2 linked regions of the Anolis sagrei genome follow. The protein of the gene in region 2 interacts with the protein of the main gene of each other region in a pairwise test. Links are inferred from orthologs where the notes say so. Each region holds a gene or a part of one and is shown on either strand. Other genes may lie near its edges.

Region 1 (8,145 bases), on a different chromosome or scaffold from region 2:
CATCCATCCATCTTGCCCTTGGTCGGCCCCTCTTCCTTTTGCCTTCCACTTTCCCCAGCATAATTGTCTTCTCTAGGCTTTCCTGTCTCCTCATGATGTGGCCAAAGTACTTCAACTTTGTCTCTAGTATCTTTCCCTCCAGTGAGCAGTCGGGCTTTATTTCCTGGAGGATGGACTGGTTGGATCTTCTCGCAGTCCAAGGCACTCTCAGCACTTTCCTCCAACACCACAGCTCAAAAGCATCGATCTTCCTTCGCTCAGCCTTCCCTAAGGTCCAGCTCTCACATCCGTAGGTGACTACAGGGAATACCATGGCTTTGACTAGGCGGATCTTTGTTGCCAGTCTGATGTCTCTACTCTTCACTATTTTATCGAGACTGGACATTGCTCTCCTCCCAAGAAGTAAGCGTCTTCTGATTTCCTGGCTACAGTCTGCATCTGCAGTAATCTTTGTACCTAGAAATACAAAGTCTGTCACGGCCTCCACGGTTTCTCCCTCTATTTTCCAGTTGTCAATCATTCTTGTTGCCATAATCTTGGTTTTTTTGACGTTTAGCTGCAACCCGGCTTTTGCGCTTTCCTCTTTCACCTTGATTAGAAGCTCCTCAGCTCTTCCTCGCTTTCGGCCATCAGAGTGGTGTCATCTGCATATCTGAGGTTGTTAATGTTTCTTCCAGCAATTTTCACCCCAGCTTTGCATTCATCCAGCCCCGCACATCGCATGATGTGTTCTGCATACAAGTTAAAAAGGTTGGGTGAGAGGATGCAGCCTTGCCGTACGCCTTTCCCAATCTTGAACCAGTCTGTTGTTCCGTGGTCAGTTCTGACTGTTGCTACTTGGTCCTTGTACAGATTCCTCAGGAGAGAGACAAGGTGGCTTGGGATGCCCATCCCACTAAGAACTTGCCACAATTTATTATGATCCACACAGTCAAAGGCTTTAGAATAGTCAATGAAGCAGAAGTAGATGTTTTTCTGAAACTCCCTGCCTTTCTCCATTATCCAGCGGATATTGGCAATTTGGTCTCTCGTTCCTCTGCCTTTTCTAAACCCAACTTGAACATCTGGCAACTCTCGCTCCACGTATTGCTGGAGTCTTCCTTGCAGGATCTTGAGCATTACCTTACTGGCATGAGAAATAAGGGCCACTGTACGGAAGTTTGAAATAGTATAATAATAGTATACTAATAATAATAATAATAATAATAGGAAAATGTGAATGTCTCTTGGTACAGTTTGAGGAGCTTTTCCTTCAGCCCTCTCCTTTGTTAACATCACCAAGAGAAAGAAAGTAGGAAAAGAGTGCCTCTGAGCATAAAAAGAAAACTTTTCTTCACTGCTTATAAGAGGTCAATGAGAAAATGAAATAATTTTGTTATGGTGTCAGACCCGAATCAATGAGAAAGGAAGTGGAAAACGCGAATGCCTCTTCACACAGGCTGTGGGACCTTTCCTTCAGTTCCCTACCATAATGGGAGAGGGGAAAATATAAAAATAGGCCTTATCTACACTGCCACATATAATCCGGTTTCATAGGCCCCTTCCACACAGCTGTATAAAATCCCACATTATCTGCACTGAACTGAGTTATATGGCAGTATGGACTCAGATAAGCCAGTTCAAAGCAGATATTGTGGATTATCTACCTTGGTATTCTGGGTTATATGGCTGCGTGGAAGGGCCGTCAGTCGAGATTATTTGCTTTGAACTGGATTACATCGTAATGTAGACTCATATAATCCAAACTGGGTCTGCACTGCTATATAATCCAGTTACTCAATTCCAGATGTCTTGCTTTGAACTGGATTACATGGCAATATAGTGTCATATAACTCAGTTCAAAGCAGATAATGTGGATTCAGAAACTGGATTTGATGGCAGTGTAGATTAAGCGTCAACAAGAAGGGACGAGAGAAGAGTGAGGCCCCTTCTACACTGCCATATAACCCAGATTATAAAAGCAGATAATCCACATTATCTGCTTTGAATAGGATTATATGAGGCCCCTTCTACACTGCAATTACATAATTCATAGAATCTGCTTGGAGTGCCTTGGACTGCGAGAAGATCCAACCAGTCCATCCTCCAGGAAATAAAGCCCGACTGCTCATTGGAGGGAAAGATACTAGAGACAAAGTTGAAGTACTTTGGCCACATCATGAGGAGACAGGAAAGCCTAGAGAAGACAATTATGCTGGGGAAAGTGGAAGGCAAAAGGAAGAGGGGCCGACCAAGGGCAAGATGGATGGATGGTATCCTTGAAGTGACTGGACTGACCTTGAAGGAGCTGGGGGTGGTGACGGCCGACAGGGAGCTCTGGCGTGGGCTGGTCCGTGAGGTCACGAAGAGTCAGAGACGACTGAACAAATGAACAACAGAATCTGCTTTGAACTGGATTATATGGCAGTCTAGAGTCAGATAATCCTGTCCAAATCAGTTGGTGTGGATTATCCGATTTGATAATCTGGGTTATAGGGCAGTGTAGAAGAGACCTGAGTCTACACTGCCATATAATCCAGTTCAAATCAGATAATCCGGATTAGATATGGCAGTGCAGATCCAGCCTCATAAAATCCATGTTATCTGCTTTGAACTGGTTTATGTGGCAGCGTAGGGTCATATAATCCAGTTCAAAATAGACACTGGATTATCTGCTTTGATAATCTGGGGACCCTTCCACACAGCCCTGTATCCCAGGTAGGAAATCCCACATTATCTGAGTGTGGACTTGGGGCCCCTTCTACATTGCCATATAAAATCCAGAAATCTGCATTGAACTGGATTATGTGACAGCATAGTGTCATATAATCCAGTCCAAAGCAGATAATGTGGATTCAGAAACTGGATTTGATGGCAATGTAGATTAATCTGGTTCAAAGCAGATATTGTGGGATTTTCTGCCTGGATATTCTGGGATAGAGGGCTGTGTGGAAGGGCCCTCCCTGGGTTATAGGGCAGTGTAGAGGGGGCTTTCTTTCAGTAGTCTGTTGCAACTGGGAAACAGACAGGCAAAGAGTGCCTCTGAGCATAGGAAGGGATTCTTTGGAGCAGAGAAGGGGGGAAGGTGGGTTACCTGGCTGGGCTTCGAGGAAGGGCCTCTCTTCCCCGCCCTGTGGCCCTTCCGTGGGCTCCCTGCGGCTCTGCTCTTTCCCCACCGTGGGGCAAGGGGCCTCTCCCCTCCCTCCCTGCCTCCCTCCTCCCTCCCTGCTGCCCTTTGCTTGCTTCCCGCCGCCGAGCCCGCCTTTCCCACGGCGGCAATTCGGGGCGGGGCTTACAGGCGTCTCCCGTTGCCACGGCAACGCTGAGGCCTAGCTGGCAAAGCCTAGCAGGCAACTCTCCACTCATTGGCATGGCAGACCACCACTACAGCCCTCCCTCCAGGTGTTTTGGACTTCAACAGCCATTTGGGAATTGTGGGAGTTGAAGTTCAAAGCACCTGGAGGGCCCAAAGGAGTCCATGCCTAACTGTACACACAAGCACTGACTTTTCCCCACCTGCTTTCATAGAATCATAGAATCATAGACTCAAAGACTTGGAAGAGACCTCATGGGCCATCCAGTCCAACCCCCTGCCAAGAAGCAGGAATGTTGCATTCAAATCATCCCTGACAGATGGCCATCCAACCTCTGTTTAAAAGCTTCCAAAGAAGGAGCCTCCACCTCGCTCCGGGGCAGAGAGTTCCACTGCTGAACGGCTCTCACAGTCAGGAAGTTCTTCCTCATGTTCAGATGGAATCTCCTCTCTTGTAGTTTGAAGCCATTGTTCCGCGTCCTAGTCTCCAAGGAAGCAGAAAACAAGCTTGCTCCCTCCTCCCTGTGGCTTCCTTTCACATATTTATACATGGCTATCATATCTCCTCTCAGCCTTCTCTTCTTCAGGCTAAACATGCCCAGCTCCTTAAGGCGTTCCTCATAGGGCTTGTTCTCCAGACCCTTGATCATTTTAGTCGCCCTCCTCTGGACACATTCCAGCTTGTCAACATCTCTCTTCAATTGTGGTGCCCAGAATTGGACACAATATTCCAGGTGTGGTCTAACCAAAGCGGAATAGAGGGGTAGCATTACTTCCCTGGATCTAGACACTATACTCCTATTGATGCAGGCCAAAATCCCATTGGCTTTTTTTGCCGCCACATCACATTGTTGGCTCATGTTTAACTTGTTGTCCATGAGGACTCCAAGATCTTTTTCACACGTACTGCTCTCAAGCCAGGCATTCTCCATTCTGTATCTGTACACACAAGCACTGACATTTCCCCACCTGCTTTCTCGCAAGCCTATTAAGGGCCCTTCCACACAGCCCTATATCCCAGAATATAAAGGCAGAAAGACTGTCGCAACTCAGGGTAGTTTCTTCCTTGCTCAAGACACCACCACACACCAAGGCTGTAGGTTTATTGAGAAAAAGCAAAATCAAAACAGAGAAATAAGGACGCAAAAGTTCAATAGGCAAAACAGAGTCTTAAATGCAAAGGCAAAGTTTCCAAGATTCAAAGGTAAATAACATGAAGCATAATCCCTTAGCAATGGTCAAACAAAAGTCCATGGTACACAAATGAAATCAGGATCAAAATCCAAGTCTCAAAAAAGCCAGAAGCGTTCCGCAAAAGCCAAGGTAATTCCACAGAAGTTAACAGGGAAGGAGCAACATTGGACTGACAGAAAATGCCTGTCGGCTACACCATTAAATAAGTTTTCCTGACATGAAAGCATTGCGTTGACCTTTGGCTGCATACTTGCTGGCAAGATGAGTGCTTCTGCGAACTCTTAATGGTAAACGATCCTGTCTACTCATTAATTCACTATTATCTTCAAGGCTGGGCAACTCCTTATCTTGGCCCAGCTGGGTCTGATCACCCTGGGAACCAAAAGGAGTCAAAGGAGTCTCCACCTGCAGATGTGGAGTTTCACTGTCTTTCTCTAACGGCACATTCCTTTCTCCAGAGAACAGACTTGCTGTTTCTTCTTCAGAAGCCACACTATTAGCCCCGTCTGGAACATGTACAGAAATCTGAAACCCATCAGCCTCCTCGTCATCCTGCAGAAAGTCAGGCTCAGAAGGCCCAGCAGGCCCAGCATAAGGCCCAGACAGTTCAGACTCAGACTGAGCCACAACAAAGACGCAGACTGTGGACAGGAAAACAGAAGACGTTTACTTCTCAGGAGGAGAGCAATGACCAATCTCGATAAAATAGTGAAGAGTAAAGACAACACACTAGCAACGAAGATCTGCATAGTCAAAGCAATGGTATTCTCCATAGTAACCAATGGATATGCAGATGACACCACTTTGATGGCTGAAAGCAAGGAGGAACTGAGGAGCCTTCTAATCAAGGTGAAAGAAGAATGCGCAAAATTTGGGTTGCAGTTAAACATTTAAAAAACCAAGATTATGACAACAAGAATGATTGACAACTGGCAATTAGAGGGATAAAACGTCAAGGCCGTGACAAACTTTGTATTTCTAGGTGCAAAGATTACTGCAAACGGAGACTGCAGCCAGGAAATCAGGAGAAGCTTACTTCTTGGGAGGAGAGCAATGACCAATCTTGATAAAATAGTGAAGAGTAAAGACATCACACTGGCAACAAAGATCTGCATAGTTAAACCAATGGTATTCCCCATAGTCACCTACGGATGTGAGAGCTGGACTATAGGGAAGGCTGAGCAAAGGAAGATAGACGCTTCTGAACTGTGGTGTTGGAGGTAAATTCTGAGAGGATTTATAGTTCACCTACAATCAAAGAGCATTCTGAACAGCACCAACAATAGAACTGGGCCAAACTTGCCACACATAAACCCCATGACCAACAGAAAATACTGTGTTTTCTTATTGTCTTTGATGACCCCTTTGACACCCCCTCGCAACCCCCACAGGGGTCTTGGACCCCAGGTTGAGAAACGCTGCCCTAAATGGTTCCGGCCCAGCTTACCTGTTTGAACGTATCTCCCCCTATGAACCATCTTGGAGACTGAGATCATCTGGAGAGACCCTGCTCTCAGTCCCGCCTCCTTCGTAGGTGCTGTGCTGTTGCGCCTGGGGGCTATAATTCTTAATGAAGGAGGCATGGACGTGGCATCTTTCCCCAGGGGATTGCTTCTTGCCCTCCTATAAGAAACTGGAACTTTCAAAAACCCAAAACGCTGTAAATAACTCAAAATAAGTTTTATTGATCACAGAGTTGTTTCTTTAAAGCAATGAGCTGGAAACTTCAGAGGGTTGAAGGAAAATATATGTTACAATCTCAGTTAGTCTTGGGTCCAAGGTGTTTGAAGCTGAGAAGCCTTTCCAAGTTTCCTCTTTCCTCAATGGCTGTGAATGCCGGAGCAAACCACAACCCCAGTTCAAATGGCCTATGTTTGAAGACTCAGGATCTTCCTTTGGTGCCAAAAGAACCGGTTTGAAGGCGCTTGAGACTTCCAACGTCATTCAGGTTGGTCTGAACATGAATCACAAATCTCAAGGATAAAAAACCTCAGAACTGGTGCTGAGAGGTAATTTAAATCAGGGTCTTTTAGAGACAAGTCTCATACTCACGTCCATCTGGTAGAAACTCTGATGGCAGAATGAAAAGAAAGGAAGCACTCCCCTCCTGCAGGAAGAGGTGGAGCCATACAGTACTGATTGATAGCCATAAGTAACCAATACATGTTGTTGTTCATTTGTTCAGTCGTCTCCGACTTTTCGTGACCTCATGGACCAGGCCACGCCAGAGCTCTCTGTCGGCCGTCACCACCCCAGCTCCTTCAAGGTCAGTCCAGTCACTTCAAGGATGCCATCCATTCATCTTGCCCTTGGTCCATACAACTATACATAAGCAGGGTAAAAGGGGAGGATAAGCATGATACAACAGTTTAAATCTTGCAACTAACAGTTAAAATTAAAATTTAAAGCACATGGTAATAACAAACTTCACATTGGTTCATATGTGAGGTTTTGCTCCTTCATTGACACATCAAGAAATTATTGCGCAGTGAGGAAAACGGCAAACATATTTCGGTGGGCAAAACAGGATGAGATTATTTGACTTTTAGCCCCGTTTTTTTACCCAAAGACCACGCCAGACCTCATTATAACTCCCCCCACCACCCGCCAAGCCAATATCATCTTGGCACAATGCAGAAAAGGTCCTGTTCTCGATAAAAAGTGGAGCTTTGTTGAGGCAAAGCTCTCACCTGCATTCATTATCGAAAGATGTTTCAAGGAAATGCTCCTAAGCCCCTGTGGCTCAGGAATTATTCTGGCCAATGAAACAGAGGGCAGAGATAAGAAAAGTCGAAACCGCACCGCAGAAAGGGCCTACTGGGAATTCTTTTCAGCCGTGTAGATGAAAGCCTGAGAGGGAGAGAAATCTCACTTTTGAAGAAGAAAACATTTGCCTGTGTCATAAAAGCACAAAACTTGGTGGAAAAGCAGGCACAAAATGTTTCCCTTTTTTTTAAAAAAATGATGACCTGAGAATATTCTTTTCCGCTCTCTGTGGGTGGTTAATAGCTATCATCCCTCCTTCAGGATGCAAGGAGCCGGCATTAGGGCTTTACAGCTGAGACCTGCATAAAAATATTCTCTCTTGGGGCTTTCTCCTAGGAATGCGTTTGACTTTTGGGGTCTAGCCAGCTTCTGTAGTGTTTTTCGGGCTTCATGGAGGGGATAAGGTTCGAGTAGAGGAGGGAGAAGGCAGGCTTTCTTCTTGCCACTTCTGCAAATGATTCACTGCTGTGCTAAAGTAACAGGAGATGTGAGATACTCCAAAGCAGGGATGGAGAATCTTTTAAATCTCACAGCATCACTGCATTGGAGAGAGTCCAATCCTATTATCTAGGCTTGGGTGGTTTCATTCGTTAATTTCGTAATTCGGTATTAATTCATAGAATCATAGAATCAAAGAGTTGGAAGAGACCTCATGGGCCATCCAGTCCAACCCCCTGCCAAGAAGCAGGAATATTGCATTCAAATCACCCCTGACAGATGGCCATCCAGCCTCTGCTTAAAAGCATCCAAAGAAGGAGCCTCCACCACACTCCGGGGCAAAGAGTTCCACTGCTGAACGGCTCTCACAGTCAGGAAGTTCTTCCTAATGTTCAGATGGAATCTCCTCTCTTGTAGTTTGAAGCCATTGTTCCGCGTCCTAGTCTCCAAGGAAG
Region 2 (8,173 bases):
GCACTTGGATGGGGGACCACCAACGAATACCAGGTGCCATAGGACATATCTCAGAAGAAGGCACTAAAAACCTACCTCTCAATATTCATTGCTAAGTTGTTGTAATATAATTAATGTAGAATTAATGTTTTTGCACACTCTGGTATAAGAAACTTCTCCTCAAAACCGGAAATTTGTACAAATCAAGACCCCTCCCAAATATAGCCAAAATTTATTCTCAACAATAATTTTCCTGGGGTCCATGTTCCCAAACAATACAATAAGAATTCATTATGAAAGAGGAAATAAATCAATATTTGATTCCAAAGTCCTTGCATTTTGTACATATCTACCCTTGAATTATGAGGAATCAAAAAAGGAAGTGGAGGAGAAGGCTGTCTGGCCTTTCTATAATTCAAGCACCACAGACTGTCATCTCACCTATTTTGGAAGGAGGTGCTATGGAAAGATCTGAAATCAAAACTAATAAAAGGATTCCCACAGTAGAAGACTAGGGTGCATCTACATTGTAGAATTAATGAAGTTTGAAATCACTTCAACTACAATGGCTACAAGGTGTGGATTCATAGGAGTTGTAGGTTTGAACATTCTTTCGCCTCCGTGCCAAAGGTATTGTTATCTCACCATAGTAAAATTCCCATGATTCCAAAGTATTCAGCCATGGCAGTTAAGGTAGTGTCAAACTGTATTCATTTGGCAAATTAGATGCAACCTGGGTCAAAGGTCCCCAAACTAAGGCCCACAGGCAGGATGCAGCCCTCCAAGGGAATTTATTCAGCCCCCACCCTAAACTTAAGACTTAGGGTTGCCCTAGGTCTGAAACTACTTGAAGGCACAATAGCAATTCTAATTAACTTGACTATCTCATCAGCGAAAAGCAGGCCCATACTTCCCATTGAAATACTGGTAAGTTTTATGTTGGTTAAAATTTGTTCTTCATTGCCAAATGGTTGTGTCAGGTTTGTACTGTATTGTTCTTTTGTTTTTTTATGACAAATAAGATATGTGCGCATGAATTAATTCATGTTTTTTCTTCTTCAAACTATAGTCTGGTCCCTCAACAGCCTGAGTGACCGTGAACTGGCCCTCTGTTTAAAAAGTTTGAGGACTCCTGCCCTAGATCTTCTGCTTCATTTTGTTTGTTTGTGTGTGTTTATAGTAATATCTGACTCATGTATTGAACTTCTTCATAAACAATTTCACCTTTGACAGGAAAAGGGTACCCTAGGACAAGGCTTATAAAACGTTTCCATTCGGAACTCCTTTTCGCCCAAGTAATTTTTATATGACCCTATGTATATAGGCCTCCCCTGACATTAAGTCCAGTCATGTCCGACTCTGGGGGATGATGCTCATCTCCATTTCTAAGTCGAAGAGCCAGCATTGTCTGTATTCACCTCCAAGATCATGTGGCCAGCATAACTCCATGGAGAACCGTCACCTTCCTGCAGAAGCTGTACCTATTGATCTACTCACACTTGCATGTTTTTGAACTGCTAGATTGGCAGAAGCTGGGCCTAACAATGGCTGCTCACCACACTCCCCAATTTGAACCACCAACCTTTTGATTAGCAAGTTCAGCAGTTCAGTAGTTTAACCCGCTGTGCCACCAGGGTATATAATATCAAAAATTTACTGACCAATCTGCATTCACAAGGCTTGTTAAACAGGCTGATTTCTCTTTTTTTAAAGTACAGCCGAGGCATTTTCTGCAGAGTAAACACTACACAATCAATTTGTGTAAACATCTAAAAGAGCCACTAGGTGACATTCAGAAAGCTTCTACTGTTGCCAAATCTTTTGGGACCCCAACATTGAGCTAAGGGGGCCCCATTCGGGCCAGACATTCGCAGTTTTGGAAGCAGTGCTTTAGGATAGAACTCATAGCTTGATTTGGTATGCAACCTTAACAGAAGTGTTCAGGAACAGATCAGCATAATGACCCATGAAAATAAAGGAACAACTTCTCATCCGAGGTGAAAGACTCCGCAAAGTTGGGCCCTGTCTCCAGGTGATTTGGACTTCAACTCCCACAAATCCTAACAGCCTCATGCCCTTTCCTTTCCCCCCTCAGCCACTTAGGCAGAAAAGGAAGGGGCCTGAGGCTGGGTTGCTATGAGTTTTCTGGGCTGTATGACCATGTTCCAAAGGCATTATCTCCTGACGTTCCACCCACATCTATGGCAGCCATCCTCAAAAGTTGAGGGGTCTGCCGGAAACTAGGCAAGTGATGTTTATATATCTGTGGCATGTCAAAGGTAGATCAACACAGACTGACCCATGCAAATAAAGGAGCATCTTCTCATCCGAGGAGAAAGACCCTAGCCCAGGCATGGGCAAACTTGGGCCCTCTCTCCAGGTATTTTGGTCTTCAACTCCCACAATTCCTAACAAATTCAAGCCCTTTAAGCCGCTTAAGCATCAGAGGGGGGGAAGGTAGGAGCCTGGGTCTGTTAGGAATTGTGGGAGCTGAAGTCCAAAACACCTGGAGAGAGGGCCCAAGTTTGCCCATTCCTGCCGTAGCCTATTCACAGGGCTCTGTCTTGCTGGACTCTATTTTGCAGATCCAATGTAGTTTGACACCACTTTGACTGCCATGGCTCTGTGCCATTGAATCCTAAGAGCTGCAGTTTGGTGAGGCACCAGCACTCTCTGGCAAAGAAGGCTGAAGACCTTGTAAAACTACAATTTCACAGCACTGAGCCATAGCAGTTAACGTGGTATGAAATTGCACAGATTCTAGGCTTCTGGGGAGAGCTCTATTTCGAAGCTTCGAGCGGTGGAAGCCGAACAAAGTGGTTGCCAAGCGCCGCCAAAGACCGTTGGGGTCAACAAGGCTGCGAATTCCCGGAGAGAGGGAGAGAGAGAGAGAGAGAGGGAGAGGGATCTCCTCAACCGCAGAGGGAACACCTTTCCTTCGTGGACCCATTAATGGTTGGCGCTTCTCTGCTTCGGGAGCCTGAGCCGCGGAAGGCGCCACACATGACATGAGGGGCTGAACCGGCATCGCCTCAGCGGGATCTCAGAGACACCGGCGCTCCTTGCCTCACTCACCTGCCCGGTAGCTTGGCGCTCCGCTTCCAGAACTGCTTGCTGCTTTCCGCAGCCATCGCTGGGGCAGAAGCCAGCTCCGAGGGCAGGCAGGCGCCGGGGCCCAAAGCCTCCGGCCGAGGCCGCTTCAGCTCCTTCCTTCGGGGCCCTCCTCGCCAGTCCCCGGCGCCGCCATCTTGGATCCGGGCGAGCGCGCTCCAGCCATTGGTTACCTCGCCGGACGTCCACCGAGCCAGCCAATCCTGAGCCAGGAACTGCGTGAAGCAGCGAAGGGCAGAAGCGAGCAATCAGAAGCCGCGGAAAGGGCGCGCGAGGCGGGTCGGTTCGCCCAATAGCAACCAAGGGGCGGGGCGAAGGGAAGGGAAGGGGGCGGAGTTCGGTTAGGCGGTTTAACTGTCAAAACTGGTCGCGGGTTTCGGGAGGAGCGTGAAGAGGAAGGAGGGCGAGGTAATGCAGCGAGGGGGAGATTCCAAAAGAAGCACGGGGCCCGAGTCAGGCCTTCCAAGCCACGGGCCAGGCGCTTGCAAACTCAGGGCAGATCTGGCATCCACCTCTTTGCCTGCCTCTAACACTACACTGTAAAAGGAATGCAGTCTGGCACCACTTTAGCTGCCAGCACTCCAGGCTGTGGCTTTAGTTTTAGGAAGTCTTTAAATTTCTTTCCCAAATGGTCCTGGTGCCTCTCCAAACTACAGCTCCCAGGACTCCACAGCCAGGAACCATTGCAGTTAAAGGGGTTTTTGTTTATTAATCGTGTAAGGAGCAGACCAAACAGTTGCATTGCATTTTTTAACAAACAGACAAACAAAACACAAAGTTTGCGAGTTTGGTAGTTGATTAAATGTCCTTTGACCAGTATCTGGCCACTTGGAGTGCCTCTGGTGTTATTATAAGAAGGTCCTCCATTGTGCATGTGGCAGGGCTCAGGTTGCATTGCAGCAGGTGGTCAGTGGTTTGCTCCACTCTGCACTCACATGTCAAGGATTCCACTTTGTAGCCCCATTTCTGAAGGTTGGCTCTGCATCTTGTGGTGCCAGAGCGCAGTCTGTTCAGCGCCTTCCAAGTCGCCCAGTCCTCTGTGTGCCCAGGGGGGAGTCTCTCATTTGGTATCAGCCATTGGTTGAGGTTCTGGGTTTGAGCCTGCCACTTTTGGACTCTCGCTTGCTGAGGTGTTCCAGCAAGTGTCTCTGTAGATCTTAGAAAACTATTTCTTGATTTAAGTTGATGTACTGGCTGATATCCAAACAAGGGATGAGCTGGAGATGTCTCTGCCTTGGTCCTTTCACTATTGGCTGCTACTTCCCAGCGGAGGTCAGGTGATGCAATACCGGCTAGACAGTGTAATTTCTCCAGTGGTGTAGGGCGCAGGCACCCCATGATAATGCGGCATGTCTCATTAAGAGCCACATCTACTGTTTTAGCGTGGTGAAATGTGTTCCACACTGGGCATGTTAAAGGGGTGTCAAAGTGCATTCCATCTCCCAGTGTGGATCCAGCCTCTGTGGTTTGAGAAGTAGCACAAGATGGGGCTGCTGTTTCCAACCAATACAGGATTCAGACAGAGCTGAAGGAGATCTCGGGAGGAGCCTTTGGGAAAGATAATAATAATAATAATGCACAAACCAGTCAAGGTGGTCCCAGTGGTGATGGGCACACTGGGTGCAGTGCCTAAAGACCTTGGCCTGCACTTAAACACAATCAGCACTGACAAAATTACCATCTGCCCTTTTACACAATCAGTGACATACAGGGAGCACACCACCCCCTTGTTGTGTCAGCTCCCCTGGCTGCCGATCCACTTCCAAACTCAATTGATAGTGTGAAACATTCACACCTAGCTCCAGCAGACAAAAGTCCTTTGTCCCACCCTGGTCATTCCACAGATATATAAACCCATTTTCCTACTTCCAACAGACCTCACTACCTCTGAGGATGCTTGCCATAGATGCAGGCAAAACGTCAGGATAAAATGCCTCTAGAACATGGCCATATAGCCCGGAAAAACCTACAACAACCCAGTCAATTCATAGTGCTGGTTTTGACTTATAAAGCTCTATATGGTTCTAGCCCAGTTTACTCATCTGAACACATCTCCCGCTACATCCCGCCTTGCAGTTTAAGATCATCCGGGGAGACCCTGCTCTCGCTCCCACCAGCGTCGCAAATACGTCTGGCGGGGACGAGAGACAGGGCCTTCTTGGCTGTAGCCCCCTGCCTGTGGAACTCGCTTCCCAAAGAGGTAAGATCGGCTTCATCCCTCCTGTCTTTTAGGAAGAAATTGAAGTTGTGGTTCTGGGACCAGGCTTTTGGACAGCTTTGGGCCCCTTCCTATCTTTCATGTCTGCTTAAACAGCTGAGGGGGAAAGGAAAGGGCCTAAGGCTGTTAGGAATGGTGGTAGCTGGAGTCCAAAACATCTGGAGGACCTAAGTTTACCCAGGTCTGCTATAGACTCAGTTAACCAGAACACTCAAGTAACCAGCATTAAAATAGAATAAATCATTAAATTGAAAATACGTGTTTATAACACAGTGAAACTAGGTTACATTTCTCTGATTTTGCTTTTAATTACTATATTTGAATACTAATGTCAGGTTAGTACAGTGTTTTATGAGATAGTACGGCATATAGTATTAGGCTTGTTTTGAATAGCAACTCTCAAGCAACCAGAAACTACACTTATTTGGCACCTACCAATCCCTATGGGTGCTGGTTAACCAACCTGGGCATGGCATATTATTTAAGAACACAGAAAGGCTGGACCACTTTAACAACTACCATGTCAGACTACACAGAGAAACCATTGAAATCCACAAGCATGTGGACAATTTCAACAGGAGGAGAGGAGGAAACCATGGAAATGAACAAAATCTGGCTACCGGTTTTTTAAAAAAATCTAAAATCAGGACAGTAAATAAAGAACTACACTAAAAAGCAGGGGAATTCTGGACGAGAATCAATCAGGGCCAGCTAACACATCCAAACAAAGTATTTCCCCAGACAGCAAGCAACCAAGCTTTGAAGCTGTAAGGCCATTAATTGTTAATCAAGGTGGCCAATTGTAACATTCACACTTGCCTCAAGCAGACAAGAGTTCTTTCTCCCACCCTGGACATTCCACAGATAAATAAACCTCACTTGCCTAGTTTCCAACAGACCCCTCAACCGCTGAGGATGCCTGCCATAGATGTGGGTGAAACATCAGGAGAAAATGCTTCTGGAACATGGCCATACAGCCTCGAAAACTCACAGCAACCCAGCCTCAGGCCCCTTCCTTTTTTGCCTAAGCGGCTGAGGGGAGAAAGGAAAGAGCATGACATTGTATAAATTGTGGAAGTTGAAGTCTAAAACACCTGGAGGGCCCAAGTTTACCCATTCCCAACCCAGAGTTACCTGGTTAAGGCTGCACACCTAGACAGGCTTGCCTGAGAAAATACCCCACCATCTGGGTAGACATCTATAAGAATGCTCTGTAAATAGTAAGCAAATGCCTCATCTTGAGAAATCTTTCAAACGCCTCTGCTGCAGAATTATCCCATCCATAGGTTTGCCAGAATGACAATAAGAAAGACGGCATTCCTGTCAAATGTGTTTTGAAAAATTCTTCTAAGGAATAGGAGATGTGGGACTGAGTTTCTCCCTGCCCTGTGAAATGTACTTTTGGCTTTTTGAGTTTCCACAGTATTGTTGTGTTGTGACAATGCTCAATCAGTTACACAGCCAAAAGGAGAGAGAGAGAGACTACCTAACTGCTGCAATAAAGAATTAAAAGGCCCCCATCCCATCCCAGTATGAAGATTACTGGCATGATTTTTAGTTACTCACATCTGATAATCCTCTTTTGAGTGAGGTTTTTCTCTTAAAGTAGGTTAACTCCATGGCATCTTGCGGTATGTGCAAGAGGGCACATCGCCCTGCCATGTACGGTGAGGTATCCCCTCCCTCTTAAGACCAAGAGCCTTTCCCTGGCTGAACTTCTTGTTCAGGGATAGGGGAATAATTCTTTTAAAATGAGGATTACATCAATTCTACACCTTGATCCCTTTCACATGGACTGTTATCCAAGCCCACTATCATCCATGCTATATCGATGCATTTCATTTTTATTGCCTGTGTCATACTACACATTTTTCCCTGTTGTAGTTCATTTTAGCAGAGCACCTGATGAACCAACCTGGAAAAGCATATTATGCTGGACTCCTCTTAACAACCACCATGTCAGACTACACAGAGAAGCCATTTAAATCCACAAGCATGTGGACAATTTCAACAGAAAGGAGGAAACCATGAAAATGAACAAAATCTGGCTACCAGTATTTAAAAGCTCCAAAATCAGGACAGTAAATAAAAAACAACACTCCAAACCAGGGGAATTCCAGACAGGAAACAATCAGGGCCAGCTAATCACCTCCCAACAAAAGATTCTCCCAGAGCGGAAACAGCCAAGCCTTGAAGCTGAAAGGCTATTCAATGCTAATCAAGGTGATCAGTTGCAGTATTCATACTTGCTTCCAGCAGACAAGAGTTCTTTCTCCCACCCTGGACATTCCATAGATGTATAAACTCCAAGTGGCTTGTTTCCAACTAATCTCACAACCTCTGAGGATGCCTGACATAGATGTGGCTGAAACGTCAGGAGAAAATGCTTCTGGAACATGGCCTTACATCCCAGATAACTCACAGCAACCTAGCACAAAACCCTTCGTGGTTATTCTTACAGTACAGTAGACTTATGTTATATTACTGCTCTCTGTAAGTCATTCTTTTTTTCAGTGAAGAGTGAGCTAGGAATACCAATTTCCTTCTGAAAGTTATTTTTACTTAACATATATAATCCAAAATTAACATACACTCACAATATTGCCTGAAAATTTATATGTTGCAGCAGTTGAAGAGCTTGTTAGAGTTTATTACGAGAACAGCTGATCAAAGACAGATCTTTGAATTTCACCTAATCAGACTTTCTCAAAGATCCCATGGCATGTTGGTCGAGTAACACCACTTACTAAGACGAAATACTTACTTATGTTTAATGCTTTGCTTATGTTTAATCTGAGAGCCTGTTTAGACTGAAAAGATGTTTGGAAATTCGGCATGAAGAGGGGAAAAGCAAAATCATACACT

The links.
Region 1: the proteins of TBC1D22B (region 2) and DEUP1 interact in binary tests that used the Homo sapiens proteins (3 or more experiments, as listed by UniProt). The link is inferred for Anolis sagrei from reciprocal best matches to the Homo sapiens genes TBC1D22B and DEUP1.

Annotation. Positions count from the first base shown.
Region 1 is NC_090023.1:19,127,153-19,135,297, reverse strand, and holds the start of DEUP1 (deuterosome assembly protein 1), read right to left. Parts: upstream 3,172-8,145; 5' UTR 3,074-3,171; intron 1-3,073. UniProt on the Homo sapiens protein: Key structural component of the deuterosome, a structure that promotes de novo centriole amplification in multiciliated cells.
Region 2 is NC_090024.1:186,726,557-186,734,729, forward strand, and holds the start of TBC1D22B (TBC1 domain family member 22B), read right to left. Parts: upstream 3,139-8,173; 5' UTR 3,111-3,138; coding exon 3,055-3,110; intron 1-3,054. UniProt on the Homo sapiens protein: May act as a GTPase-activating protein for Rab family protein(s).